2 linked regions of the Astyanax mexicanus genome follow. The protein of the gene in region 1 binds, or shares a complex with, the protein of each later gene. Links are inferred from orthologs where the notes say so. Each region holds a gene or a part of one and is shown on either strand. Other genes may lie near its edges.

What was found.
Region 2: the proteins of pex14 (region 1) and pex5 are in contact, whole or in part, in an NMR structure (PDB 4BXU), measured with the Homo sapiens proteins. The link is inferred for Astyanax mexicanus from reciprocal best matches to the Homo sapiens genes PEX14 and PEX5. Residues at the interface, in NP_004556.1 of Homo sapiens: Thr31, Phe35, Asn38, Arg40, Val41, Ser44, Pro45, Thr48, Arg49, Phe52, Lys55, Lys56; in NP_001124497.1 of Homo sapiens: Glu59, Leu62, Val63, Glu65, Phe66, Leu67, Gln70.

The regions. Positions count from the first base shown.
Region 1 is NC_064420.1:41,364,584-41,381,126, reverse strand, and holds the start of pex14 (peroxisomal membrane protein PEX14), read left to right. Parts: upstream 1-7,565; 5' UTR 7,566-7,783; coding exon 7,784-7,885; intron 7,886-9,498; coding exon 9,499-9,543; intron 9,544-16,543. UniProt on the Homo sapiens protein: Component of the PEX13-PEX14 docking complex, a translocon channel that specifically mediates the import of peroxisomal cargo proteins bound to PEX5 receptor.
Region 2 is NC_064413.1:6,427,442-6,443,549, reverse strand, and holds the start of pex5 (peroxisomal biogenesis factor 5), read left to right. Parts: upstream 1-8,033; 5' UTR 8,034-8,157; intron 8,158-8,316; exon of another isoform or gene 8,317-8,608; intron 8,609-10,716; 5' UTR 10,717-10,760; coding exon 10,761-10,874; intron 10,875-11,681; coding exon 11,682-11,720; intron 11,721-12,769; coding exon 12,770-12,887; intron 12,888-14,150; coding exon 14,151-14,294; intron 14,295-15,185; coding exon 15,186-15,276; intron 15,277-15,733; coding exon 15,734-15,824; intron 15,825-16,108. Other genes in the region: clstn3 (calsyntenin-3), read left to right, coding at 3,018-3,167.

The sequences.
Region 1 (16,543 bases):
TCGACAAAACATCCGGCTCTACTTAAAAAGCTACAACAGGTGTTCTGTCAAATTAAGCTACCCATCGATACGTGCTTCTTAAAGGCAGTGCGCATGCGCGCTGACCTGCAATTTTTAAGTATTTCTCGTTTTTTTTTTATCTGTTTTTTTTGTGCATTAAACAACAGTTCGACTCACTGTCATTGCACAGAAGTGTAAATGGAAATGAATAACAATAAATACAATAATTATTATTTAAAAATGATAATATCATGATATCTGGCTGTATTTTGTACCATTATACAGTGATTTATGCTTTCCCAATATATTATATATACGTCTACTACGAACATGCTCGAATATTGTTCTCTTTTTTTGTAGTTTTACAGTTAATATACATTAGGGAAGCACGGTTTGACAAGGAAGCACGACTCGACAGAACACCGGTCATTTTACTGCAGTGAGTACCTGTGGAGCTAACGCCAGTTAATTTAGCAATGCGGTTATTCAGAATTATACGACGCCTCCATTTCTGTTTATTAAAACAAGAAGAAGTGCTGCACGGTGGAAAGTTGCAGTGTTGGAGTCACGGGTGAGGAGTACTTTACTGTTATACTTTGAATATCCTTGTAGTTTAAGCCAATTTAATATTTACTGGAGTTCACATTGTTAGCATTTAAACACTGTACCACAACCAGGTCCAATATACAAATATTATCTAGCTATGATATGAGGTTACCTAAAAAATAACTTTACATCAAATTAGTTTTTTTTTCTTTCTGGTCAAGTCAAGTTTTTTAAGCACCAGTGTCTGTGCCTACTCAAACTCAATACATGTACTCAATACTACTACTAATTAGTAATTCTAATATATATATATATATATATATATATATATATATATATATATATATATATATATATATATAAGCTATATTTAAAGTGGACATAATTTGTGTGTTGTTAACATTATTTGTGTGGAAAAAAACTGCTTATTCTGTAAAAATATAAAATAGTGTGTAATGTTGTGTCCTGTTACACCGACAGGTTTCCTGTAATGAATCTAACGGGGATTCTTGCCCCATTTCTTAGAGACAGAGACCATGGGACAGAACTATACAACAGCAGACAAATATTAGAAATGTATTATCAATTTAGGTCTTTATATTTATGATTAGCACAAACGATACATGAATAATCTGTAAATATTATATATTTATTATGTTTATATATTTATTAGGTGCTGTGCTGTGTATCACGTGTAGTATCTTTGACATTTTGAAAAGGAAAAAGACTAGCATTTTGGTTAATAACTAAAAGGACACAAAGTAGCTGTAAATATCTTTTTTCAGTAATTGCATTTGTGAAGTTTAGAGGAGAAGGAATATAGAATAAAATATAGGAAATAGAATCGAAATGTCCTGCTTATTTTAATTCTTTTTCATATTTTTATTTTTGGTTCCAGTCATGCGATTGGAAATCAAGAAAGATCAGGTAAATATCTAACGTTACTTGTATGTACATTTCTTTCTGTGTGACTGTCTGACTCTTATCTATCTATCTATCTATCTATCTATCTATCTATCTATCTATCTATCTATCTATCTATCTATCTATCTATATGTCTGTCAGTCTATTTTAATCTATCTATCTATCTATCTATATATATATCTATATATATCTATATATATGTGTGTGTGTATGTGTGTGTATGTGTGTGTGTGTGTGTGTGTGTGTGTGTGTGTGTCTGTGTGTGTCTGTCTGTCTTTCTAACTAACTTTTTGTATGTCTGTTTCTGTCTGTCTTTGATTGTTTAGAAATGTAGGTTATAATTTATCAGTGGACCTGTGGAAGCCCCATGTGATTGGTGACTAGGCCTCAGTCACTCAGCAGCTCTGGCTCGATTACTCAGCCTGTCCCAGACTCGGTGAGTCGAAGCAGAAACTCAGTCGCTTCAGCTGTAACTTGTTAGCTGGGTTAGCTAGCAGGAGCTGCAGGCTGGAGAGGATGGCGCCCTCGGATCAGTCCGAGCAGCACAGTAAGGTAAAGAGCTAAAACGGGCTGGCGGCGGTGAGGCCGGGCCGCTGTGCGGTGCTGGGTCTGTGTGTGTTAGTGTATCTGTGGTTAGTTAGTTGGTGGAGGAAAAGTTTTAGCCCAGCTGCTGCTGCTGTTGCTGCTAGCGGGCTGTTTCTGACAGCTGCAGGCCACAGGCAGCTCCAGCCCTCCCGCAGACCGTTTATAAACCAGCCAGGGCTTTATTAACACTTTAACTATATCGTGTTTATTTAGTTATAGAGTTTATATGTGTGTAGATAAAGCCAGCAGCAATCTTCAGCTCTGGAACTACAAGGCTAGCAGGCTAACTAGCTAACGGATATGTGTGCAGAGCCGAGCCCGGGTCAGTGTCCACAGAGAGAGCAGCGTGTTAATGTTTACACTCAGCCTGAGCACTGCACTGACACACCACACATACCGCACAGCCTTAAACACTACAGAGAGAAAGAGCTCTGTGTTTAATCTCTTACATCTACATACTCGTGTGTACACCAATATTCTGTTTTGGTTGGCTGTCTGTTTCTGTCTTGCCTGTTTTTGTTTGTTGTATACATCTGTATCTGTTTATCTTTCTCTCTCTTTTATATCTGTATTTGTCTGTATTTATCTGTCTATATACAGGTCCAGAATCAGTTTCTCTGATTTTGCTATTTATAGGTATTTGTTTGAGTAAAATGAACATTGTCGTTTCATTCTATGAACTACGGACAACGTTTCTCCCAAATTCCAAATAAAAATATTATCACTTAGAGCATTTTTTGTAATTTATTAAAATAACAAAAAAAGATGCAAAGCTTTCAGACCTCGAATAATGCAAAGAAAACAACTTTATTCATAAAGTTTTAAGAGTTCAGAAATCAATATTTGGTTAATCACAGTTTTTTATGCATCTTGGTACGTTCACCTCCACCAGTGTTACACACTGCTTTTGGATAACTTTATGCCTTTACTCCTGGTGCAAAAATTCAAGCAGTTCAGCTTGGTTTGATGGCTTGTAATCATCCATCTTCCTCTTGATTATATTCCAGAGGTTTTCAATTGAGTAAAATCAAAGAAATTCATCATTTTTAATCTACCTATCTATCTATCTACCTATCTATTTTTACATGACTGTTCTGTTTTGGTTGGCTCTGTTTCTGTTTTTCTATGTTTGTTTATTGTATACATCTGTATATTGTCTATTTATCACTTTCTGTCTTATCTGTATATCTATCTGTCAGTACTTGTCTATTTTTGTTTGTCTGTGTTCCTCTCTTGTATATTGTTTTTTTGTGTTTGTCTGTCTTTATATCCCATTGTCTGTCTATCAAACATCTGTTAAAATGTCTGATATTAATGTGTAAAAACATGCACAGTTTTTTTAGTTCCTGTATTATCAAAAGAATAGGACTTTTAAAGTAGGATTGAATTAGGATGCATTAGGGTGTTGGGGATGATGCGGTGTGGTAATCTACTCAACATCTTGTCTTCATAACACTCTTGGCCTAAAGGAAATCAAATTCTCACAGCAATGCTCAACAATCTGGTTGAAACCTTTCACGGACAGTAAAGATAGTCATCTATTTCTGTCCATACATGTCTCTCTCTCGCTCTCTCTCTCTCTCTCTCTCTCTCTCTCTCTATATATATATATATATATATATATATATATATATATATATATATATATATATATATATATATATATATATATATATAGCTATTTATCTGTCTATGTGAGTCTTTCTAGCTATTCTTCTGTAAATTTCTATTTAAATATATAGCTATCTATCTGTTTGTCTTTCTGTCCGACTAGCTATCTATGTATATACATTGCCTGGCCAAAAATCACCACCTGAATTCAGACTTGTCTTGAGATATTCTTTTGATGCTTAATAATCACATATGTTAATGCCACTGAAATGTCTTATCCAGAAGTACTAAATAGAAGCTAAACAATATTTTAAATGTTTTATAAAAGATGGTGATAATACACAATACAAAAATATGTAACTTTTATAATACATGCAACCTTTATGCATGTGCTAAGCATTAAACATTATGATTTTAATTAAATATTTAACTGGGAAAAAAAACCCACATTTGTGTTTCCGCAGCAAAAGAAGAATATTAGCGATTTAATTATTATACAGGCTATTTATTAATATTTTTTTAAATCCTTTAGTTCTCAGTACAGAATCTCAGCCTGAGTGATCAGTGTTTCTCTCTGATCATGTTTGAAGGGTTTGTCTTTGGACGCTGTTATCAGTGTTAGGAAACTCTGTGAGAGGCTCAGTGTGATAAGTGTGTGTTTGCTTAATGCAGGGTTTCTCAATCCTGGTCATGGAACCCCCTGTCCTGCACATTTAGTCCGTTCCCTGCTTCCAGCACACCTGATCCAACTAAAAATATGTAAGGGTAGGGGTCTAAGAACTAGGAGTGGGAATCGCCGGGCATCTCACAATATGTAGATAAAATACTCATCCTAAACAAGCAAATACCAGGAATTATGGGTTTATTGGTGAATTTGACAACTAGTATTCACTGAAGGTTTACCTAATTCATTTTAGGAGCGAGATCATGTGGAGTAATGAAGCAGTAACTTTAGTACGTCAAATTGGAGGACATGCCTTGGGTGGTTTAGAGCACCTGTGTTTCAATAAAATATATATGCTGCACAGTAGAACAGTGCGTCACCACTGAAATTCTGCTAAATCTCCCTAAAGGACTTTAGCTGTCAAACGGTCATTTTTATTTGATGTGATTCACTTCAGTTCACTTCAGCCTTTTTATGTAACCTAATTCTGACTCATTGTTGGCATAGACATCTGATAGCGCTTTCATTAAGTGTTTCCTGAATTCTGATATTTGTGCTGAATATATGACCTCTGCACTGTAGATTCTGTTATTGCTGTTATTGCTGGTTTGTACTGGAGTTGAGCCCCTGTTTGCTCTTGAGCTCAATATCAGCTTCCAGGCTCTGCTGGTGTTTTGTTACAGTGCCGAATGATTGTCAGCTTCCCGACTGAAATCCAACAAGTGAGTGAAAGTGTAGAAGCTCTGTTGTCCTTTTCACCTTGTTCTGATGGAGGAATCAGGCTGTGATATCAGGATTGGCCTTCTGAGAAAAAAGAATATGCATTCAGGATATGCATTTTAATTTTCTCTTATTCCTACATCCAGTTTAACGGGACCAAGTATCTTCAGTGTTATGTAAAAAAAAAAAAAAAAAAAACTTTATCTGTCATTTTGACAATTGAGTCTGACATTGTGTCACAGTCGGTGGTCTAACAGATATAAGGAACTCACAGTTTAAACCAGATCATGATTTTTAATCACAATTTATTTTTTCAGATCCGCAAAATAGAAAACGGGGCAAATGTGAGGAAGTGATTTTAGCTTTACATTTGAAAGTATTTTTGCAATAAGGCTTAATTTGTTTTAATGACTTATTAAAATGTAATCGTATTAATGGAATCAACATTCTACGATTAATCGCACCCTTTTATCTGTATAAGACTGAATGTAATGACAAGGTGTCGTAAAACAACAAAGTAGCTGTGTGTGTGAGTGTAGGAGAAAAGAAAGGAGTAGTTAGTTATGAGATTTAATCCAGATTTTAGCATAAATAAATACAAAATCTACTCTTTAAACTCAGTAGTGATTCTGTGTTTACATCACTAAATAAAACCACTGATACATCACCAGGCTCTGTAAGAGGATTCATTTGCATGAAAAAAAAATGTTTTAAGGTTTCTAGATCAATCATATTTGTAAACTTTGGCAGGACTTATTTTGACCTAGTGTTTGTTTGGTATTTAAAGCTTTCACTGTGATTTATTTATTTATTTTTTGACACTTGAAGGTTTCTTCTGTTTAAACCCCTGTCCACGAGACTCCAGCACCTCACACTATTATAACTTTGCTTCTACTTACACTTCACAGTCTGTATGTGATTAAGGTAAAAACTGTAAAATGTAAACAGCAGCAGTAAAACTGGATTCCTCATTTTTATTGAAAAAAAATAAAATTGAGAATTTTGCATCACATTGACATGCTTATTGTAATGAAGCATGCAGTTGCAGTACACTGATCATGTGTAAGCTAAAATTACCCCATACTGCTCACCTTTACCCTTAATAATCATGCAACCTATCCAACAATACCTTGGCCCCTGTCCATATTCTGATATTGTCTGTCAGGGATCCAGAATGTAATAGGAATGAACTATAATAATGGGTTCAGTCTGAATTCAGTATAAAACTAGAGGACAGTAAAGTACAGACCTGTGTTATGGGCACAGAGACGGAGTAAAATGACGAGAGGGCATTAAAGAGAGTGTAATCCGTTCACCTGAGATTTACTATCTGAGATGTTATTTAGATGTCTGCTGTACTTTTCTTTTGGCAGTGGCTGGAATTTTATTACCTGATTAAGCCCTTTGGACAGGCATGGATCACTGACAATGGAAACAATGACTGAATTTTGCTCCATTTTTATTGTTGAGCTAATAACATTAGCGTGCTAAGTCTCTACTTCCTGTGTTCAGTTTTGAACAGGCCGCTGTTGTTCCACAGTCGTCACCCACCTTTTAGTCTCATCTTTTATAATGGTGGGAAGAATTGACTGAGCTTAAATCTAATTTAAAACTATTAGTAAAGACACTAATAGGGAGGACTCTGTTTACACAATAACTAGACGTTAGAAAATGTGTGTTTTTGCACATTACATTTTGTGACTGGTGTCAGTAATTATGGTGTCTGTAAAAGGTTTTTAGATTTCTAAGCTTTTCTGAGCTTTTCTTAGCTTGCTGGGTCAGTGTTCATCTGTTTAATTTACTGTTTTTGAGGCTAAACCTAAAAATTGGTGTAAAACTTAATCATTTTTTTCCCACATTTGGTTTAGTAAAAAAGGTTTTTCTTTTTTCTTTTCACCAAAAATATTTATTCTTTTTTCTTCCCGGTTTAATGGTATTGCACAACCTACTCTTACAAGATGCAAAAATTTACAAAAATTGTAAAAAAAAAAAAAAAAAAACATTTCTTATTTACAACACCAAATTTGGAAAAAATAAAAAACAAATTTTAACACACAATTTTCTATTTTCATTAACTAATAAATGATACACTGAGCTATCGTTATACTGTAAGCAAGACCATATATATAAATAAATATATAATAAAATTATAGGACAAATGTATTGGTATTAACACTCCAAATGCACAATATCTGAGTAAAAGGAAAGTTTACTGTTTATCCAATCAGAACAGTCTCTTAACAAATCTTTAGATGCAAAGTGCTTGATAAAGCATTGATAAAACAAAATGTATTTTTTTTGTTGTTGTTATTTCTGCCATTTCTCATTTTCTGCAAAATGCTCTAAATGACAATATTTTTATTTTAAATTTGATTTGGGGGAAATGTCTGTAGTTTGTAGAATGAAACAACACTCTTCATTTTGCTCAAACGTATACCTATAAATAATGTGTGTGTGTGTGTTTTTTTAAATATATTAGATATCAGGGTATTTATTTTATCGGCCAATCCTGAGAACTTATCAGATCATATAGGTGAGTTAAGATTTGCAGCAGAACTGTGCGGCTTACAGTTGGTGAAGCTTGGTCTTAGAAAGCTGCAGTACCTTCGTCCAACCACTAGATGGAACTCTGGTGCTGGAGCACAGCTGCTGCCACTAACAGCTCGTTAGCAGTCAGTGTGGAGATTAGCTGTTTCTGTTTAGCAGTTTCTGCTGTTTTTATTTGTATATACAATGTGTCAAATTATTGTTCCTCATGGAGGAAAGAGAAAAAATACTTTTAACCTCACTAACTGGATAATACTGCTCGGGACAGTGCATCGTTCAGCCCATTCAGTGTGTACCAGAGCTAACAAACACTACTAACCACACAAACAATTAACCACCACATTTTAACCACCAGTACTGCAGCAGCCATCTAAAATAATATTTAAAAAATCACAACTTTTCAGGTGTGCAAAAATAAATTAATAAATTCTGCAGTATTGTAGGTAACGCTAGCTTAGCTTATATGTGTCAGACTCTTAGCTGGGGTTTCCCAGTGTTTGTAATGTAAAGGAGAGGATGTGGGAGAGGATGTGTGGCATATTATATATACAGCTTGGATGATGTCACAGTAGAATATTGTTATTATTAGAATAAATGCTTAAAAACACACACACACACACACACACACACATGCCAATTTTAAAATACAAAAAATAAAAGTATGTGTTGCAATTGTTCAAAAATTTAAAATGTTGTGAACACAAACTCATATTAAAATGTTAGATTTTAGAGTGATTTTAGTGTATTTTTATTTAGAAGAGTTGGCCTTGGTCTTACAAAATGTCATGTGGTGCGACTGTGATTAATGTTAAAATTAATACATTTCCTTAATACACTTTACTTTTATTTTACAAATTCCCACTAATATTAAGTGTCTATAAATAAAGCATTTGCATTAATTTTTAGTTTTTTGTAAATAATGATCTTAATTTTGTTTTTTAGTGTCACAATCACTGGCTTTAATGTAGTTGATAGGGTATTTTTTTCCTGTAAATCCTATAAAACCGTTAAAATCTTTTCTAAAATACCATTATCTTCAGCATACAGTATCAATAGTTAATATAAAAGCAGAAAGATGAGCTCTGGATAAAGATATTTCTTTTAAACACATTTTAATATCGGACAACCAAAAAGAATACTTTAAATTATGATTTAATTTGTTAAGAAAAAAAATCCAAACCAACCTGACTCTGTGTGAACAAAAGAAATCTGTAAGTGGGCATTTACTTTTTCACAGCACTGTATGCTGTTTTTTTTTAAATGTTTGTTTATTTAAGGCAGCTGTTTGTTTTAGATGGCTGTAATTAGGTAAAATTACTAAGTTTGCCTGGAATGGTTGATTGGACCCTGCCGATCGGTGATTGGCCCATAAAATGCTGATCAATCCGTCTCTTAAAAATATCCTACATAAATAAAACATTAATAAAATGCACCTGCTGTTGTTTTTAAACCAAGTCAGCATATCAGCTTTATTGATATTTATGGGTTCTGCTTGTGTATAGAAACAGAATTGGCAACATTTGAGGTCAGCATTATTGAGGTTATGCTCATTTGTTGTACTTTAACTTAATAATGTAATTATTGTGACGTGCCTCGTAAATAGAGTTCAGTGTAGAAATAAATATAGCATTACTCCCCACTTAATCTGTTCTGTTTTGTATTGTAATAAAAGGGTCAATTAATGAGTAATTAATAAGTAATTTTCCCGCTTTGTAGTTAGAAATGTAAAGAATGATCATGTATAATGAACAGATTGTTTGCTAACAGTTAACAATATTTCTAATAGGAAATGAAGTCAGAATTCAGTTTAGTTAATAAGTCCAGCTAAACTCACTGTATTATGTAAGAAACACCTCTAGGTGGAGCTGTAACACAAGCCTTCTCTTCTCTTTTCTCTGCAGAGTGGATCTCCAGTCCGAGACGATGCTCCACCACGAGAAGCACTGGTAAGACGATACTCGTGCTCTGAATATCACCTCTATCCTTCCTCACTAAACTCCTCTAAAAACACAGAGTCTAAACATGTGCTCTCAACATGCTTACTCAGATTATGATAGACCATCTTGTGCGCTTACACACTGTTGTTTACACCTGGTCACTTCTTAATGTTTTAAACACATGCATTTTTACACTTTTTGACCCAATGTGCCTCCAGTTAGTCAGCCCAAAATCTGATTTCTGTGCAGGATGGAAGATGTACATTCATAAAAATTGTGCGTTAGTTATTACTGGTGTTACAGTTGTACTGGGAGAAGTTTTGGTTGTTGATTGTGTCTTGTAGACTCAGATACATTTACACTGTTTTAATATGTGGCTCAAATGTGTGTCAGAACACCGCCTGAAATGGGTTTGAATGATGGGATTTGTATTTGTTTTAAATACAATTCAGTTTTTTATATATACACCTTTTTTGCGAGGTTTGCATTTATCCTGATATCATCCTGATAAATAATATATATCAGTGATTTCTCTAATGATGATCTGATAACATTAAGATTCACTTGTTTGCATCAGAATGTAGGACTAAACACCCCATGTCTATTTATGGCCTCTTCCAAACATGGTTTGAGTTATCCGATAAAAAAATGGTCAAAAAATGGATTTCGTACACATTTTAATGCAAGTGTGAACAGAATGGCCTTTTTAATATTAAATTCTGTCAGTCAGGCGTTTGTATGTTTGTTATCTGCCACATTTTAAAGGGCTTTGAGACCTTTTTGTCTAAAACTCCACTATTACTAAACTTTTCACTTTCTCTGAGCACGACAATGGTCAAGATCAACAAATTTTATAGTTGGGAAAACAGAAGTTATGGATGTTTTGTTTGATTTTATGCAGGAAAGTATGCATAAAGGATGCATTTTAGTGACAAGTGTAAACAGAATCAAGGTAATCAAAATAGATCCAGAAACGGATACAAAACGTGTTCTAATACCTGGTAGAAGCAGTTTTGGTCACAGTAAAGGAATTAAGTTTAAATCTGCTAATAAGTAATGTTTGAAAGCTAGTTTTGAATAGGGTCCACTCATCCCTAGCTGTGTTATTAATCATTAATGCAAAAGGCTGTAACTTATTATCCTATAACTCCAAATAATGTTAATATTATTGTATTAGCTGTTTGCCATATAAAAGGTGTCCAGAAAGCTCTCTTGTTATGTGTTTTAACAACATGTACTTTAACATCTCACCTCAGAGACAGCATCAGGGTAATATTTTGCATAAATCTATTTGGGTTGAGCATAATGTTTTGCATAAATTTAGAGCTAGACATAATAGAGACGATGATGAGGTTATTTATTTGTCTTTTTGATGAGCAGACGTAATCAGCCATATTCTAATTATTTCAGCCGTTTTTTTTTTGTCCCAGAAGTTATTATCCTGTAGTTAAGAGTGTTTACTGGTTTATATGTCATTTAAAACCCAGAATCGAACCCATCCCCTTTGTGTTCCCTCTCTCACCGACACACACACTGCCTGCAGCTTGTTTAGTAACATCCGAATGATTAGTTTCTGAATTGTTCCTTTTTGTTTAATGTGATTTCACGGCATATATGATCTCAAACCGAGCTCAAGGCGCTCACCTCAAAAGCGGAAAAAATGTGGATTATTAAGGCTCCTCGGCCTCCTAACCGGTCGACAAGTCGCCTTTTTTCCCCCTCCTTTTCTCTTTTTGATGAGCTGCTCTTTCCCAGTTAAGTGGATTATTACAGTGCTGGATAATTCATGTCACAAGGCATTATTTGGATGAGGTGAATAATTGAAATCTGTGTCTGAAAGGATTTGATGTGGATGAGAGGAAGGGGACTGGTGGCAGGGTTGGAGGGAGTCAGAGGCAGGCTCTGGGCGGCTGTGCCGGGGTGTCAGGCTGGGGACAGCACTCATGCTAACAGGTTCTGACTCACCTCGCCGGGATGGGCGGTCCTCACTCCTCGGTGGCAGGCGGCCCCGGCCGTCTGAGCCATAGCAGGTTTGGACCTGCGCTCCGCTTCGCGCTGTCAATCAAACCCAGCACCAGTCCCATTCAAGCCTGAATGAAGCTCGCCTCCGGGGGCTGGCATCCCCACCCAGCTCACCGGCTCAGCCTCTGTGCTCTATTCCTTACTCTATCTGTCTCTCTCTCTATCTGTCTATCTGTCTCTCTCTCTATCTCTATCTGTCTCTCTCCCCCTCATTCCTCTCCCTCACGCCTCCCGTACATTTCCTCTTTCTTTAATGCTGTGAAAATTTCCACCTCAGGCAAACAGCATAGCACGTTCTACATCTGATGTTTGAGTGTGTGAACGTGGTGTAAAAGTCTCTGAATGATAATTAGAGGTGTAATTAGGAGTGTAAAACGTGAAAACTCAAATGTGTGTATTTTAGTGTGTATTTTTTGCTAGAAGAGTGTTTTATAGAAGATAATAAAAAGATGCTTTACACTCGCAACTGTTTTAGCAACCACAAATGGTTCTTTTGCAGTGTTGCTTATGGAAGTTTTTTTTTTTTTTTTTTTAATATTACTAGAAATATTGATTTTTTTTTTGCAGTATTTTGTCAGTTCTTAGATTCTAAGATGATTCATTCATTAATTCACTGCTTTATTTTATGTAGTGTTTAAGCCCTGGCTGCAAGATAACAGTGTTGTACTCTGTCTGTTGTCTTGATCTCCATTTCAGTTTTCACATATTGAGTAAATTCTTTAAAACTTGAATTGAGCCACTGGGAGTCTAGGTTTATCTTTTGGTTTACATTGTTAATAATAATCTGTTCCTTATTCATTATCACCATCCACATTTACTTACAAATAGAGTTAGTATACACACAGCTTGTCTTGTCTGTGTAGAGAAGTACTGCCAGTAGAATAGGACTCTCTGTAGCAGTTATACATTAACCTATTTACATCATTCCTAATGCCAGCTGTGGGTTAGAGATGGATTAATCCACCAGTATTGAGCTGTAGAGCAGTAGAACTGTGTTCTCTGGAATAATAGTGCTTCATCCAGTCCTTTGGGGATACAGTATAATTAAAAGTCCTCCATGGACAATGGGGACAGTTACATTTACTACAACTACTTTATTTTTTTTCCAGTTACCCTTGATTTTGGTAGAAGCAATAAATTAATAGGTATCCTATGACAGTTTTGTCTATATAGATTAAGATTGTTTATATAAGTGGGCTTTACGTTAAATGTTTTTGCCTTTACTCCACTGTAATGGGGACTGTTAGGGGTGGGTGATGTGGACCTAAAATAATATCTTGATATTTGAGGGTATGTTTATAATAACGGTATTCTCGCTGGTTTGACTAAAATGCTGAATATATATATATATATATATATATATATATATATATATATATATATATATATATATATATATATATATATATATTCTTTCCAGAATATACTACTTCAACAAAAACATTCAACAGAAAACATCAGATTTTTTTTTTTTTTTTTATGAATAACTGATAAAAAACTAACAAGATTTTTTACAGCAAAATAAATGTATCATAAAAGTAACGTCATGTAACATGAGTACTATATCAATATACAATAAATGGCAACAGTCAAAAATTATACCTTTTAAACTTTACAGCAAATCATCATACAAAATAGACTGCTTATTGATTTTAATAATATATATATATATATATATATATATATATATATATATATATTGTTTTATAATTTTTAACAATATCATTGTGTACAATATGATATGGCACACCCCTAATGACCGTACCCTGAGCTGGTAGTGAGGTTATGCTGCAGGGCTGTATGTGAACAGACTCCCAGGCCGACCCTGCCCTGCCCGCTGGGCTCGCTCTGTGTGCCCCAAATATCACCGGCCTCCTGTTGAAAGAGGCAGGGATGCAGAAGCTGAGGGAGGAGGTAAAAAAGGAGGAGAGGGAGGGGAAAAAAAAGAAAAAGTTGTCAGAAGAACATGCCGGTCTCGCTGCGACTTCAAAAGCTCCCCTTCCCCAGGATATTAAGCGACTGTGATGAAAAATTTAGTGAGCGTTAAATAAGGCGCTTTGAAGTGATCTGTTTTGGCTCAGCAGTCTCCGAATTTCCGGAGCCCCTCTGCTATCACCACCATGTTGGGAGAAGGGGAAAAAAAGACCTCACAAAGCCCAGGAATCGGGGGCAGTCTAACAAGATGCCAACATTAACATTACAGCCAGTGGCACTGGCCGGAGGGCGGGGGCGGGTTGGTGGCTTCTCGGCCTTTCTGTCACTGTCTTTTTCACTAATCCCGTTTTAATTTTTTTCCTCCTGGTTTCTCTCTTTTCCCTCCGCTTTGCTGTCACCCCTTGCCCTGCAGTTATGGTAGACATCTGTTGCTCATATGTTAGTTTTGAAAATGAGCTTCTAGTTCTTTGGGGACTTGTGGAACACAGTAGTTCTAGGCAGCAGGCGCTGTTCAGGACCACGCCAGAAGCGGCCTCCCTTTGTTACTGGAAAGGCTGAACTGTTTCTGAGAAAGCAGTTGGAGTTGTTTGGTTTGATTGATTATTTGTTGTTTGATTAGCTTGATGTTGATCCAGGCTCTGCCCACAAAGTATATTGAGAATGGACAAGCTTTAGAAATTGTTATTTAACATGATCTCTGGCTAAATAATGGCAAAACATTGCCAAAAATCCCATTTAACCCTTTTATCTGAACACAGAAATAATTGTGTGGGTTTTTCATTTCACATAGATGTTAGGACACCCCATGAAAACCTTTTGTCTTTTTAGCATTTATAAATAGATTTTTATTGAAACAGTTGTGAAAGATAGAGATTATATAGCTGAACACAAACAGTATGGAAAATAAAATTAAAATAAAAATTGTTTCTTAGATTTACAGTGCTTTTATTTTTATTGCAGATAGTATGAACCCAATGTATTTTATGTTTTGTCTGGCAGAAATTATTTAATTTATTCAAATTCGTTTGCCACATTGTATTGTACGCAATAATATTGACAATATTTTTTTTATATTGTTTTTGCAAAAATACCCAAAATAACGTCACATTATTTTATTCTTGCAACTTTTTAAAAATAATTCTAGAGACTGTTATATATGAGGTTATATCTGTCCAGTATCATTTATTTTATTTTAACCCTGGATCTATGGAGTGTATTATTATTATCATGACTTGTTGAATCTTTGACTCTATTAGAGGTGTGCCATGTCATATCGTATGCAAAAATATCACCAAATAAACTACAATATTTATTTTATTTAAGTGGTGTATTCTTGAAACTTATACATTAATAGTTTTTTTATTAAATGTTTTGTCATATCGGCAAGAATATTGTTATCGAGAAAACACCCTGAACCATTTTGATATTAATTTACAGCTACCGGTATGTTGGCCACCCCTAATATACATTCATTCCTGCTATTCAGGCCTTTCATTTTTTTCTTACAAAAAAGTTGTAGCAATGAAGTCCTTAGTAATGTTGCCATACCTTCTCACTTAAAAAAAAAAAAAAAACACTTGAAAAGGAGGTTTTCCTGTAAACAAAAATACCTTGTCATCACAGTTTCTGTTTCACAGTTGTTTTCACGCATTGTCTATTATGGGACAGGTCAGGACTACAGGACTTCCCTCTTCTTCTACATCTTTGCCTTTATAATGTGTGCAGCATGTGGTTTGGCTGTATCTTGTTGAAAAAAATGCATAGAGCTGCGTGAAAAGTACTTGAAGGCTCCAAGAGCTAAATGTACTAAAATAACCCCATATGCTGATGGTCCCTGGCTTTTGAACGTGTTGCTGATAACAGTCTGAATTATGTTTTTTTTTTATATATATATTTATTTATTTGGTCCAGAGGTTATGGCGTCCTATTCATCTAATAAGAAATATAGGTCAGGAATACTGATGCATCTCACCATAAAATGCATTTATTACTACTGTGCGATGGTTTATCACAGTTTTAGAGAAATTGATGGCTTCTGTTTTGCACAGTACAGTTTTAAATGGTATTTCTGAATGTAATTTTTTGTTGTAAAAGCTATGCAAAAGTAATCCATTGCTCCTGTGGCTATATTAGCAGTTCTTGAATGACTCATCTAGATGCAGCCCATCAAGGGGCATCAGATATTGAGTTTGAAAGCTTAGCTTCATGTATGAAATCTGAACTCTAGCCAAAATTGATCAGATTTATTGGTAAAAGTTCTGTTATCTTCGTTGCTATGAAAAATTTCCAAAACACAATAATGGGAAGAACAGATAAGTCAGTTCTGGGTATCATAATTATAAAGCCCAAAATTTAATTATTCAGAGGTTCAGAGACTGTAACCGGCCATAAATCTAAAGCACTAACACATTGTTCCTTTGGTGAAGCTTTGCAGCAATTAGGAGTGTTTTTTTTGCTTTTTTCTGCTCGTTTTGTTCCTCATTATTTTGCTCTAATTGTGAGTGTAATCCATTACCGGAGCTGTCTGCAGTAAAAAGGCCGTTATGGTTGGCATGGGGACCCAAACCTCTTAGATATTCCCGCATTATTGGGGAAGATGGTCACTAGGAGGCTGTGAGAAGTTCAGCACGGCTGCTTGTACAAGGAATTGAGACACAGTTAAACTGTGCGCGGGTTCAGTTGCCCTAAAGGTAGTCAGTTTTATTAAATTGTAGGGGAGAAAAAATGACTGGAAAGTTAATATTGTCTGTCTTGTAATTATGGCTGGGCAATATGACCGTGTTATTGTTATTATAATAATAAAGTTAGAAAAAACATTGTTCTGAGGAGCTTGTGGGGATCAGCAGGACTTCTGGAACATAGAAAAATGCCACATATCATCATAAAAAGAGCCTGTAAAAATCTTGTGTTCTGTGTCTATTATTAAAAATGTGCTATAAGTCTGTTCATGTTATATATTTGGTGCATGGAGAATAAGCAGTTGTAGTTGTTTCAATATGCAGATGTTTTGAGTCGGATGATATTTTTAAAATCTGGATGATATAAACTGATA
Region 2 (16,108 bases), on another chromosome or scaffold:
TATTTCCATTCCAGGATGAACCATAATTTTAGGTATCTCTTTAGTGCAGAACAAAATATTCCCAAATGAGAGCAGCAGTGATTTGACAGTGAATAGCGCAACGTGAGAGCGCAAATAAACTTAAATTAGCTTAAAATGTTTGTCTGATTTCAGCTTACTGAGAATGCAGTGATACTTGAGATTTAAGAGTTAAGCACACCTGATCATTTTTTTATCACCTGATAATTAAATTAATTCAGATTTCTTAAGCATCTTCTCTAGTTCAGCTTCCGGCTAATCCATAACGCCTTTGCAACTTAGGCTAGTTGTTCGCAGTTGGTTATTTTTAGGAGAATGTCAACTTTCATCATCCAATTTAGACATGGATGTCGAAATTTCCTTGTTGTACGTATATAAAGTGCATTACCAGGCTTAATCCCTGTTAGGGAAACTGAGGTTTGGGTTGCCATCTTACACCCTGCGCAAGGCACGTTACGAAGCTCTTTGCTATCTTAAATGCCATCAACAGTCTATTTTCACACCTTGCGCTCGTACCGCTAAGGTAGCGTCTATGAGTTTATGAGAATATCTAAACAGATGGGCGTGATTGTCTGGATATGAGGTTTTCTGGTTACCAGGTAAATATTTGGCATATTTCTATGTTGGTGGAAGTAAACACATTTGCGCTACTGACTAATTTAAACCCTGACAACAGTCAGTAGTCACCTGCCCAATCTTATCTTATCTACGCAGAGTACGCATGCTTGAGGCACACGCTCAGTGCGTGTAAATCCCAGCTCATTACACAGCTTTTACATCAACACTAAGCAGAATACAAAATAAAATAACATTGCTGTTCCCATAAATTATCTTCTGGCGCACCTTCACAGCGGGAAAGCGCTGCACTGTTAAGATATCAACAATCAAAAGTCAGAATGCACCTGGTTCTTAAAGGAAATGACATATGAAATGCTAATTGGTTTATTTCCTGTTACAATAAGCTGGGTAGGTAGTGTATCTTTATAGTGTTTAATACCCATGCCCACTAAGCTGGTTATGTAGTGTATCTTTATAGTATTTCAGTATATTTCTAGCACTCAGTTATTGATCACAGGGTTGTGTGTTTAATTCTCATGCCCACTTAACTGGACAAGTAGTGTACATTAGTAATAGATTAGTGATAATGATACAGGTAGTGTACATTACTGTGTATTAGAGTAAACAATTAATTTGTCTTAAAGTTTATGTCTAGCGCTCACAGGTTATTGATCACAGGGTTTTGGGTTCAAATCCCATACCCAATATGCTGGTCAGGTAGTGTATCTTTATAGTGTTTAATACCCATGTCCACTAAGCTGGTTATGCAGTGGATCTTTATAGTATTTCAGTATATTTCTAGTACTCAGTTATTGATCACAGGGTTGTGGGTTCATATCCCATACCCAATATGCTGGTCAGGTAGTGTATCTTTATAGTGTTTAATACCCATGCCCACTAAGCTGGTTATATAGTGTATCTTTATAGTATTTCAGTATATTTTTAGCACTCAGTTATTGATCACAGGGTTGTGGGTTCAAATCCCATACCCAATATGCTGGTCAGGTAGTGTATCTTTATAGTGTTTAATACCCATGTCCACTAAGCTGGTTATGCAGTGGATCTTTATAGTATTTCAGTATATTTCTAGTACTCAGTTATTGATCACAGGGTTGTGGGTTCATATCCCATACCCAATATGCTGGTCAGGTAGTGTATCTTTATAATGTTTAATACCCATGCCCACTAAGCTGGTTATATAGTGTATCTTTATAGTATTTCAGTATATTTTTAGCACTCAGTTATTGATCACAGGGTTGTGGGTTCAAATCCCATACCCAATATGCTGGTCAGGTAGTGTATCTTTATAGTGTTTAATACCCATGTCCACTAAGCTGGTTATGCAGTGGATCTTTATAGTATTTCAGTATATTTCTAGTACTCAGTTATTGATCACAGGGTTGTGGGTTCATATCCCATACCCAATATGCTGGTCAGGTAGTGTATCTTTATAATGTTTAATACCCATGCCCACTAAGCTGGTTATATAGTGTATCTTTATAGTATTTCAGTATATTTTTAGCACTCAGTTATTGATCACAGGGTTGTGGGTTCAAATCCCATACCCAATATGCTGGTCAGGTAGTGTATCTTTATAGTGTTTAATACCCATGCCCACTAAGCTGGTTATGTAGTGTATCTTTATAGTATTTTAGTATATTTTAGCACTCAGTTATTGATCACAGGGTTGTGGGTTCAATACCTACGCCCGATATGCTGGTCAGGTAGTGTATCTTTATAGTGTTTAATACCCATGTCCACTAAGCTGGTTATGTAGTGTACCTTTATAGTATTTCAGTATATTTCTAGCACTCAGTTATTGATCACAGGGTTTTGGGTACTATACCCACGCCCGATATGCTGGTCAGGTAGTGTATCTTTATAGTGTTTAATACCCATGTCCACTAAGCTGGTTATGTAGTGTATCTTTATAGTATTTCAGTATATTTTTAGCACTCAGTTATTAATGACAGGGTTGTGGGTTCAATACCTATGCCAACTAAACTGGTAAAGTAGTTTATCTTTATAGCATTTATTACCCATACCCACTGAATTTGTTATGTACTGTATCTTTATAGTATTTCAGTAAATTTTAGCACTCAGTTATTAATCACAGGGTTGTGGGTTCAATACCTATGCCCAATAAGCTGATCAGGTAGTGTATATTACTAATCTTTAGTGTATTACAGTAAATAATAGATTTATCTTAGTTTATTTCTAGCACTTAGCTATTGATCACAAGGTTGTGGGTTTGTTCACCAAGGTTCCCTTGGTCTGCTAAGCTGTTGATAATCTAGGTCTGCAGTTAGCATCATGCTAGTTGGTGGGCTATAGGGTTTAGTCACTTGTTTGCTACATTAGCAGTATAAATAAATTAAATTAAATTAAATAAATTAAATAATTAAAACTACTGTTTTAATGTGTATTTCTTTCTCTTTCAGTCCTATGAGAACCGCATGGGCATGGCGGCAGATACAGAGGGCGAGGGCGACGACGAAGACGATGTGGTGGAGTCTCCTGATGACACGGGTGACGACCAGCGAATCATCATCAAGAAAGAAGGAAGAGACTCCGCCCCTCGTCGCTACTGAGTCGGTCATGCAAAAATGAAATGGAAGGTCCTTCTCACATGTTAAACATGAAAACCATGATACACACACTGTACACACTCTCTTACACACACACACATTCACACACAGACACAAAGCATAAATGTATTTGATATCAGCCTTTGTGAATGCATTGTCTCTGGAATGTATGCTCTCACACAAACACACACTCACTTACTCACTCACACACATACACACACACGAAGACACACACACAAAGACACACACACAGTGCACAATGCCCAGGCAACGTTTAGTCCACATTTAACCCAACACTCGACAATGTATGTATGTATGGCACAATGATGTAATTACTGTATGTATATCACTCGTCTATTCCCGTCGGTAAATGTGGTCATCGCACTGTATCTGACAACACTGAACACACCGGGTATTACTGCAGACGAATGTACGCTAGCTGATTTACGTTACTATAGATATACTATTAGCAGGGCTGGCCTGAACAGCAACTCACAGGCTTCAGGTACTCACTGGTGTTTACAAACAACTACCCTAATATTTCCATATTGCCATATTCCCATTCTGTGATGAACCATAATTGTAGGTATGCTCATTACTGTAGTTCAGAATATTCCCAGAAGAGGGCAGCATGGATTTTGACAGTGGATATTGCAACGTGAAGGCGCGAATAAACTGAAATCAGCGTTTTTCTGCCTGATTCCAGCAGACTAAGAATACAGTAATACTCAGAATGAGTTGAACAAACCTGTTGTGTTTGTTTACAACAGGGGCTTATCACCTGATTATTGAAAATTGTTGGAACTGGTGATTTCTTAAGCATCTTTGGTAGTTTCACCAGCCTGCTATCTGTTTGAATGGGGAGAAACCAAAATACTTCAAAATGAAAGTCTATTTACCATTTGGATCCATAATTCACTGCTTGTTCTGGCTACTGCACTTGCGCAGATCTCCACATAGAAGGAACGCTGATCCTCCATGTGCAGTGTAAGCAGCAAGCTGATTGGCTCTCCAAATAGCGGGACTTTATCCTTGAATGGACGCTGATTCTGGACTTCCATATCTATTTCTTTAGCTTCGTGTTCTACCATAATGAAGTAAAACATTTTTTTTACTGCTGGTGAGGAAGAAGATTTTTTCCATGTGTTTATTTGAATGGAAAGCACCAACATTTTCAAACACCTCTACTAAATACTAAATACACAAATACAGTGGGATGGAACAAACACAAGGTTTCAGTCGATTTGGGCCAGCCCTAGAAATTAGCCAGTTTTGCAAGAATACAATTAAAAATTGAGGTTTACGTTCAAGTCACGAGTTCATCATGGTTCAGCATCACCAGTTTAGTTTTCTTCAGTCATTCCTCTAGACACACTTAACAAATGAATCTTCCAGACTGGATATAAGCTATGTGTAGATACTGTACCTCCACTTTCCCAGCAGTCACAGTCACATAATAATTATAATAATAATAATATTATTGATAATAATCATGGGACGGTTCTCAAAAACAACTTCACTCACCTACAGATATACACACCTACACATAAACACACACTTGCGTACTGCAACACTCCCCCTCCTCAGCTGCATCAGAATGTTTGCTCAACCCTGAGCAGTTTTGATTGTATTTAAATGTATGTAAATACAAATTACTACTATTATTATTATCATTATTTTCTTTCTGTTATTGCCATTGTTCTTAAACACACTTCTCGCTCTGCACTGTTTTCTATTCCCATGCTTACGGATTCTATAACATTGCTGTCTAGTGATAATGATAATAATAGTATTAGTAATAATTCTGATAATGATGATAATAATGGTAATGATTGGCTTGATGAGTGTCTATTTATTTGTGTGTTCAACAGTGTAATTTAAGAACTTGTTCATATCTGAATCACAGTGAAATGGAAAGGCACATTGTGGTTATAATGCAGTGCTCCTCTTTCACTCCTCCCGTCCCCTCCTCCTCCTTTTCCCTCCTTCTCTCCCTCCTCCTTTAATCCGTCCACTTCTTCTTTTTGTTTTCTGAATGTACAGCTCAAACTTCGCCCCCTCCTCCTCCTTTGCCGTGTCTCTCTCTCTCTCTTTCTCTCTGTCTGTGTCGGTGTACAGTGGAAACCTGTCAGTTAATAAAGGCCTGTTGTTTTTTCAATGTGATATTAAGAATGGATATAAAAAAAACCAAATCTGCATTAATATCTTAACATTATTACTATGGTTACTATTGGGACATTTATCTGTACTTACTATTGATACGATAACACAGATTATGGACTGATTGTTATTGATAAATGGTCTGAAGTAAGAGAAAAATAAATAAATCTGTTCCAAAAGTTCATAATAAAAACACTCGGATGACGACAGCATGTGGTCTGTGGTGAATAAGGGTTCTTGATTTTTTTTCTTCTATTATTTTCCCATTTTTCTCCCAATTTAGCTAGGGCAATTGTACCACCCATTCAGAGGTTATTTAGCTGATGCCACAAAACAAGGAGGGTGAAGACTAGCACATGCCTCCTCCGACATATGTGACATTAGACTTTGCCTCTTTTTTAAACTGTTGCTGATGCAGCATTGCTGAGTGAGCTCGGAGGAAAGCGCAGCGACTCGGTTCTGATACATCAGCTCATAGATGCCTTGTGCTGATCAACATCACCCTAAGAGTGATAAGGGGAAAGAGTGCCATCTACCCACCCAGAGAGAGCAAGGCCAATTGTGCCCTCTCAGGGCTTCAGCAGCTGATGGCAGGCTGCATGACTGGGATTCGAACCAGCGATCATAGTGGCAGCGATTTAGACCGCTGGACCATTCCGGTGCAGAGGGTGCTTGGTTTTATTGACCCTTTAAGGCAGCAGTCTTTAAGATTTTTTTCTTTTCAATTGAATGCAGTAGTGTACCTAAATGCTTCTGCTACAATTTTTGCAAAGCCACATATACCACCAGTCAAAAGTTTGGACACACCTTACATTCAGTGTTTTTTTTTTTTAATGTTCTGCATTGTAGACTAATACTACAGTAGTCATTCAAACTATGAACAAAACATATGGAATTATTTATTAACCAAAAAGTGTAAAACAGCCAAAATATGTTTTATATTTTAGATTCTTTAAAGTAGCACCTCTTGCTTGGATGACAGCTTTACACATCTTGGCTGGATTTTTAACAGCTGTGCTGAACTCATCAAGAGTTAATTACTTAAATTTCTTGCCCTTATTGTGTTTGAGAGCATCAGTTGACATTTAACTGGTACTGTATAATTATTCTAAAAACAAGAGTGCACTGGGCCATCAACAAGAAGATGGTGGGTTTGATACCTGGGTTTGGTGGGGTGCATTGTTGGGCCCCTGACCAAGGCCCTTAACCTTCATTGCTTCCCAGGCACCACAGCGATGAATCCAGGCACCTGTTCTCACTGTGTCTCTGTGTGAGTGAATTATGGGAATTGGAGTGGGGTCTAATAGTGGGTACAGATGTATGATGGAACATTCCATTCCTGAAGTTGTGTGGTTGTTCATATACCGATCCTCCATCCCCAGTGTGTACTGGGAACACAGTGTGTTGCTACTGCAATGGTAAGGTGGTAAAGATTTTGACTGGTGGAAAAGAAATACACTTAAACAATTTAAATATGTTAAATACACTTAAAATAAGTTATTTTTAACATCAAATGATCAGATGAAAGAAAAAAAAAACATTCACAGACTATCATGTGATGGACTTAAGATATTCAGTATATTTTACTTAAAGCCTGTTATGAGTAAAAAGAACTTTAAAATAGCATTTAAAACCAATTACAGTAATGGGCATTCAGGTCAAAATATATATTTCTTTAGATTTATAGTCACATACTGCTGCTCACAGGTTTTTCACAAAGGAAGGTCCAAAGTCTATGGATATGACGGCATTTAAGGGCCACTCTTAAAATAAATGAAAACAGTTGACATTGAGAAGAAAGATGCAATATTATGAGGACCAACACAAAGGCTCTTGAGCAAGACCCTTAAACCTCACTGCTTCTCAGGCACCACAGCGATGCATCCAGGCATGTGTTCTCACTGTATCACTGTGTGAGAGTACTTACTAGTATGTATGTATCAGTGATGGTTTGGAGAGTCATGCCATCTGCTGGTGTTGATGCACTGTGTTATATCAAGTCTAAAGTCAGTGCAGGGTTTCCCTGGAAAATCTTACTGCACTAAATGGTTGCCTCTGCTGACAACTTTTATGGAGATGCAGATTTCATTGTCCAGCAGGACTTGGGCACACATCCCACTCTGCCAAAAGTACCAACTGGTCTTAATAAAAATATTAATAATAATATTCTTATTTTCTGACACACTGATTTTTGGGTTTTCATTGTCTGTAAGCCATAATCATCAACAATAAAAGAAATAAACGCTAAAATATATATAAATCACCCTGTGAGTTCCACATTTTTAACTGAATTACTGAAATAAAGTAACTTTTTTAAGTTATATATATATTTTTTAGATATGTTATTAAGTCAATTGTTTTTATTTTTTTAAGAGTGGCCCTAATAAGCTGTACACATACATAAATAAACAAGTTTGGTGAGAAAGAACTTGACTGGACTGCACAGAGTCCTTACCATAACCTTATAGAAAACACCTTTGGGATGAATTAGAGTGGAGTCAGGACTTAAAATCTGACAAGGAGGTTTATGTGTGTAAAGGCAGACGAGTGAACAATTTTGACAACACTGTGTATTATACATTATACAATATAATATCCTGAAAAGCTGAAACTTTCCCAACTTGATGATTCCCCTTTAAACTTTACCTCACTGTGATTATTTGGCTGGGGTTACTGTGTGAGAGAAAGAGAGAGAGACAGTGGACTTTGAATCCGTCCTTGAACACATGACGTCTGTAACTAGCTACTTTTTAAAGCACCTTTCCTAAAGAATAAACAGCTCGAATTTAACAGCTGAGAAGCTTTAAAGTGTTTGGAGTGCAGGGGTTAAGCAGTAAGTAAGAGTTTTAAAGCAGTAACTCGAGTTTTAAAGCGAAAATTTGCTTTGCTGCTTTGCTGTCTGTTCTCTGCTGTCATTTTAGGAATCTAACGTAAGCTACGCACCGTGCGCCTGCCGCGTGTAGGCAAGCGGGAGCCTCGAGCTGCGTAACTCGCGTTGGTGAATACCACTGTGGTGTCTGTTGATTCATGCAGAGCCTTCAGTTAGTGGCGCCTCAGGTGAATAAATAAAGATTTACACGGCGAGCTGAGCAGCGCAGGACGTGCCCAGCGGCTCGCCTGAGAGCCAGCCGCTTCTTAATCGCCTCTGCTTTGTAAGTAGCCCATAGGTGACCCTGGGTGCGTCATATTTTTGGGCAGGTTGCTAAGCTAGCTAACCCAGCGACTGCTGTAATAACGACGGCGTTAGTGGCTGGAGCGGCCGGTGCTGAGCTGTGGGCTGAGCGGTGAGTTTATTAGCTAGGTTAGCTAGATTAACTCGTTTAGCATTGTAGCTACACGTATATAAGAATAAACAGTGCTATTTAAAGCTATTTAACTTGCAGTTGTTAAAGGTTAACATGATTATTAGACAGCTAAGCGAGCTAAACAATGCGCTGCTGTCCTAATAGCTACGTGCCCTCAGTCTTGGAAGTGCCTCCTGTGGTTTATTAGGTTAGCTAGCCTTCACTGATGTGTAAGTTAACCAAGGTTAGCTTAGTTTAGCTTGCTAGCTAAATAGCCGTTACGTTACTAGCAATTAAAATGCTGGTGTATAATAAATATATTAATAAGAAGAGCATAGTTTTGAACAAAGTATTGTATTTGTTCGCATTGTTACCAGAGCTGAGTGTGGCATTATTTGTGTGTGATTGGTGAGAATTGTTCCGTTCCACCTTAAATGGTGCAGATAGATCCAGCAAAAGGATGGAGCTGCTGCACCATTTAAGGTGGAACGGAACAAGTCTCATAACAAACCTAAAACAGACAAATACATGTTTAGTAGGATGTTTACATCGGTGGTGAACCCAATAGTGTCTTTTTTTAACATCTTCTTTAAAAATATACTAAAATATCTTATTATTATTATTATTATTGTTGTTAGATTCCAAAGTGGGAATGCAGTTCCTACACAGACTGCGTGTGTGATTGTGGCTCAGCTCTATTGCTGTGGTTTAAAGCTGTGATATGATGGTTGCTAGGTGGTTGCTATGGCATTGTTGTTGGTTACCAAGGTTTTTAAGTGGTTGCTAATATGTTGCCGTGGATTTAATCAGTGATGGTTCATAAAGTGTGGCTGAGTAGTTTGTAGTTTGTTGCTATGGTATTTGTGTTGGTTGCTATGGTATGGCTATATGTGGGATGGCATGTTGAGCACTTTATTCATTCCTCTCTGGAAAATCTGTATGATGATTTTTACGAAAAACGTACATTGGATAGATTTGTGACTTCTGTAAACGTTAGGTTTATGTTTGGGGTTTAGTTTTTGTTCAGATGCTTTTTGTGCAAATAGTTTTGCATTTTTTCAAAAGCTATGTGCAAGCACAAAATTCCTGATTATGATGAATGATCCATCCATCCATCCAAGCAAGTTTATAGATGAATTTGTCATTTATTGAAGACAGTAATATAATTAGTATTAGTGATACAGGCTCTGATTAGAGCTGGGCAATATGATGATATTTTATACATTCATACATTTTCTTATCACTGATTACACATCACTGTACTAAGCAGTATTTGAATAGCACTTTTTAAAAATCTGAAACTTCTGATTCCTTTTGTCTGCATGTCAGAACATTGCAATACATACTGTTTATCATAAAAATAATTTAAATATTGTAATATGATATTTTTTTCTTTACCATATTACCTAGCTCTGTCACTGTGTGATGTACATCACAGAAGGTGCTTTTTATACTGGTAATATCGATATTTCAGTTATATCGTATGGACTGAAATTAAGAAACATATCATGACATAAGTTTTGGCTATATCGTCCTGACCTAGCTGTGATATTAAAATGTACTTTTTATTGCAGAGAGCTTAATTTGACATTAAATTGTCTTAAAATATAAAAAAATATATATTTTTACAATATTGCCCAGCCCTAAATTACACTTACTGCCCAGATAAAGAGCTTTTTCATTCTGTGTGTGTGCAAACATAGCCTATAAAAATGTTGAATAAATTATAGCTAGTTTAATATGTTCACATGACCTCGCTTTCCATGGATATTAAATGTACCACAGGTATCTTTCAGGGGCAACATCTTGGAGACCTTCATATTGAGCACCCACAACTTTTATAACGTGCCCAGCGGCTAATCGTTTTAGTCCTAATCAGCTTAGGCACCATATGTTGATGCCACTGGACAGATTAGGCCAGAGGGTCAGACAGTGATAACGAGAGGAAGGGTAGGGGTGAAGTTGAAGCTGATTCTAGAGATGATGATGATGATGATAAAGTTTTTTTTATTTATCAGCCTTGTTGATAACAGACAGGTAGATCCAGAAGCTCCAGTTTGGACTATAGTGTAATAATGTTTTTTAACTTTTAACACTCTGTTTTCCAGAACCTCCCGGGTGCTTGTCGGAGCCATCCTGACCCTGGGTTACCATGGCGATGCGGGAGCTAGTGGAGGCGGAATGTGGGGGAGCCAATCCCCTCATGAAGCTAACAAGTCACATGACTCAAGAGGGGGGAGCTTGGAGACACAGGTCAACGCCCACTGTGAGTTTATTGGTGTTCGGTTGTTTTGCTACTATTTGCAGGGTTGGCTGGCCGTCATATTCGTATCGATGCCCTGAAATTTTTTGATATTATTTTAGGGCTGTATTGGCCATTAGTGTATTTTTTTTTGCTGTTTCTAACTGATAACTGATTCTAATTTCACACTAAATATCTACTAGAGACTAGATTTATTTTACTTAATTTCTGGTATATGTAGTGTATTGTTAGTACCATGACAAAAATATTCTGCAAAATCATAATATTATTTAAGGGCCTTGTTGGAGTCAAGTATTAGCATACCTGGAGGCTTGGTAGTTTAGGGGTAAGGACTAAAGCTTATTTTACCAAAGAGAAAACCACTTAAACTTTTTGAGTTTCCTCTGCACAAGAAAGATGCGTGTATGTGAGCCATGTCGTGTCAAAAATAAATTTTTAGAGGCTCTATAATCAAAAATTGTGTATTTACACAAACCTGAAACGGGTTACAGTTATTTTCAAGACTTTAGAAATTCACTAGTAGTCTACAGTAAGGCTAACAAGCTACAATTAGAGACAATTTTGGATAGTGGCTGATCTGTTACTGACTGATGTTGTGAGAGAAAGCATTCTGGATTTCCAAATATTAAAATCTCTCAAAGAGCTTCCTGAATTGTTTTGTGAGTAGTCATTTTCCACCAGTATGTGCTGTTCAGAAGCAAGAGAAGCAGTAATGCAGTGCCATATTAGTCACAGTTCTGTTCAATTTTTGGCATCTAATGTGTGACATTAAATGTTGAACATCTGTCTTTTCTGTGTTTTTCCTCTCAGATTCCCCCCACACCAATCGAGATTGCCACAGAGGAGGAGGTAATTTTAGTTTCAGATTATTTTGGTCATGCCTGTTCTGTTAAGCAGTTTTCACTTTAGATCTGAAGTTAGAATGTTTCAAAAAGTACAGTGGCTTGCAAAAAAATGCATGCCCTTGAAGCTTTTCACTTTTTGTCACTTTTTAACCACAAACTTTAATGTACTTTATTGAGATTTTAATGATGGATTCAGCCCCCTTTACTCTAAAACCCTTAAATAAACAGCATAATATAGACCAAGAAACTCACCAGACAGGTCAGAGATACAGTTGTGGAGAAGTTTAAAGCAGGGTTAGGTTATAAAAACAGATCCCAAGCTTTGAGCATCACTGGACAGCACTGGTCAGAGAAGCAGCCAAGAGGTCCTTGGGCCCACAGCGAAAGTGAGAGAATCTGTTCCACAGAACAACTCTTTGTCGTGCACTTAATAGATTTGGCCTTTATTGAAGAGTGGCAAGAAAAAATACATTTTTGAAAGAAAGACAAAGTTTTTTGGGGGGCAGTTTGTCCCAAGCCATGTAGAAGACACAGCAAACGTGAATGAAGGTGCTTTGGCCAGATAAAATGCAGACCGCTATGTGTGGTGGAAAAGTAAAGCGGTTCATCACCCTGAACGCACCATGCCCACTGTGAAACATGGTGGTGGCAGCATCATGCTCTGGGGCTGCTTTTCTCCAGAATACATGTCAATACTGGAACAAAAACCTGTTGAAGGCCTTCCAGCAAGACAATGACCCTAAACGTACAGCCAGAGCTGCAGTGAAATGGTTTTATCAAAGGCACATATTCATGTTTTTAACTAATTGTGCTTATATATCACCTTGATTTCAGTATCGCAGTATAGAGAATTCCTTTCTGTTTAGTTCTTGGACCAGTCCAGTTTGTCATCCAACTGCATATGTGTCAGTCGCCAGGTTCTTGCCAATATATCATGTTTTTCAGGTGGACAGAATTAACAAGTAAAAAATTCTGTTATGGGAAATATGAAATAAGAAGTTTGTTTGACAGCTTGACGTTTCTGCGTCTCACTGACCACACCTTTAATTGCAGCTGGTGAGCGAATTTCTCCAGGCCCCCCCTCGGCCTCCTAACAGCTTTGACATGGGCCAGCTTCTGGAGGAGATGCAGCAAATCGACCAGCAGAGCTACAGACAGGCCCCACAGAGAGGTAGCACACACACACACTCACACACATTACACATGTGCTAACCCGGAGACCCCCAGGGGTCTGTGATTTACAGCAACAGATGCAGCAGATTTAAAGGAAATGCTGTTTCTGTTCCTGAAGGTCGGGAAAGTTTCTGTCACTGCTGGGAGTGTAGAAGCTGCCAGTACGTGAGTCATCGGTCAGTGAGAACTCCGAGGAGGGGAAGGAAAATATTTATAAAAAGGACTGACCCGGGATAAAATTCTTACCCTGTGTATGGTGCTGTAATAAACAGAATACAGAGTAATATCTATACCCTACGTATGGATAAGGTTTTACTGGAATTATCAGATTATTAACGTAATTTGATTTACGTAGATTCTCTTCCTTTGCGGGAATATGAAATTAAGTGACACCTCATTATTAATCCATACGGTTTAGTTTGATGTTGGCCCACTCCTTGCAGCTATAACAGCTTCAACTCAACTGGGGAGGTTTAGGAGTGTGTTTATGAGAATTTTGACCATTCTTTCAGAGGCGCATTTGTGAGGTCTAACTGTTTCTGCCAAACAAGGGAGCATGATATTGTGATAATGGAAGTGATTGGAACACCTAAATTTAGTGATTTGGATACATTAGTAAATACTTCAGGCAAGCTAGTGTATTGTGCGATAACTTCATAATGTAGTTATATTGACAGGCCTGAGCACAGTTCATCATGTTATGACTTTAAAGACTAAATTACCATATTTTTTGCACTATAAGACGCATAACTCCTCATTGTGCCTTATAATCCAGTGCACCTTATGTATGAATTTTACCAGTCAGGTTGTAAGGAGCAGTAAAGCCAATCAGCTGAAGTACAACATTATACAGGAGTTTCAGTGAAGTTTCTCCAGCACAGAGACTGGAGCAGTATTAGCATTAGCCACTAAGTGCTAGCTCTTTCACCATTCAGAGGTGAGTATATCGGATTGTAGTCTGCATGTTTAACGTTTTAAAGCAAGCTACGTGGGTCGAACCACTAGCTAATAGCACCTGGCTTACCTGAACACTCAGGTTTCCTCAGTGTACCACTGTCGGGCAGCACTAACCGCTGCACCCACATTGTAAGCCTACTGTAAATCTATCTATCTATCCAATATCTATCTATCATAGATACCGTAGAGAAAGTCTTACCTGAGGCTCTTCCTCACACTGTGTAAAATGTCTGATTCTCTTGTAAACAGAATCACATGTTTGTTTATTTATGTGATTCAACACATCAGTACTTTCTGCTTCCAGCTCCAGATGTAGCCGCATTGGCGCTGTCCGGCGACTGGGCTGCAGAATTCCTGTCTGGAGCCGACTCTGCTGCTTCTGCTGGTCAGGCAGGTCTGGACGCAGCGGATGCTGACTGGACTCGGGAATTCATCAATGACGTAACCGGTTAGTCTTATATGACTGTGTGTCTGTTCAGCTACCCTTTTCTAATCGTTATGTTATTGCTGTACAAAGTTAGAATATGTTAATTGAGTGAGAGTTCTAGACACTAGAGATGCACCAAAACAAAAGAAAATTTGGGAAACAGATTTAATAAATATTGGTATTTTCTTTTTTAGCTGTGCATAAATTAAATAGACAAACTTTTCTTTTGCTTTTTAAAGAAAGCATAATTCTTTAGAATACGTTATTTTGTCTTTCTTTTTACTTTTTTTTGCAGAATAATTTTGGTTTGCCAAATTTAATGATATTTCGGAGTTGACGCTGGAGGCGAACCAAACCATGGTTACCATGGTGTAACAAATGTGGAGTTTTTAATGACCGGGTTCGTACGGTCATGAAAAAACTGGAAAAAAATTTGAAAACAGCAATTTCCATGCCTGGATAAGTTTTGGAAAAATAGTACAAATGTGTCAGCTAGAGTTATTTCAGTATTTTAGCCCTAAACAGTGGAGCTCTCAGGATCTGACACACATTTTATTATTAAAGTTTGCGTGTCAATCTTTTATCTGATTAATTTTAGAATTACTATAATCAATTTTAATTATAGTTTTAGTTCATGATGTTCTGATGTTTTAAAAATCATATGGTCATGAAAATTTGCCTTAAAGGCATGGAAAATTTATGAAAAAAATAATGAAAATGTATTGGTTAAAACATGTATGAACCCTGAATGACTGATGTTGTGTGGTTTTTGACACTGTGTGACTCACTATTACACTATGCAGTTTGTTAAAATACATGGATGGATGATTTAAGGGGGTGTAAGGGGGAAACTGTTTAAATTAGATCTAAAATTCTCATTTTCTTTATTTTCTCTCTTTTTTTTGTTCTCAGATCCTGGGCGATGGGCTGAAGAGTATCTGGAGCAGTCAGAAGAGAAGCTTTGGTTGGGCGATCTGGGAGAGAAGGAGCAGGAGAAAGAATGGTAAGAGAGAAAAAGAGCAACAGCTGAAAGCAAAATTGGAGAAAGGACAGAATAAAAAATGTAAAACATTATAAAAGGTCTGAAAGAGTTAAAGAATGAGCCGAGGTCAGAGCAGGTTGTTGAAATTTCCCATCAGATCCAGCGCTCTTCAGTCATTTCCCACTTCAGTGTTAACCTTAAGGCCTGAGCGGAATCTAAACACAGCATTTTTGTGGTTGAAGAGCAGGGCAGGTCCTGTTGGGGCTGCAAACTTTCTCAGGGTAAATGATTAGGAGAATCACACTGGGTCATAAAGTGTGTCTATTAGTTTATGGATAAAACTGAAATTATGAATATAATCCTAGATTCCTTTTTATATATGTTTAACCTCATAATCTCTTTTTATAAGACTACACTGAGGATATAAAAATATAATTTATTTTCTTAAGGATTTTAATTTAAAACTCTAATCTCGTAGGACAAAGGAATATGAACCAGGAGACGAGCTGAAACAAACCGCCAATGAACTTCTAGCAAAGGTGGACGACCCCAAGCTACAGAACACAGAGGTAAGTGTGTGGTGTTTATTTATTTATTTATTAATTTATTATTGTACCAAATCTTCTGAACTTCACCTGTACATGGTAACACTTTAAATTATCATGGGATTGAATTAATCTGTCACAATTAGATAAATCCATTGTGAATAGTGCATAATGCCCTAGTTTCTATATTTGGTGCCAAATCCCCCCAAAAAAAGTGCACTCAACGACTCCATGCAAGATTATTAATCAAAGCGTAGCCTGAGGCTAGTTTCCCCAAAACTATCATTGTATTAAGATCTAAAGTGGTA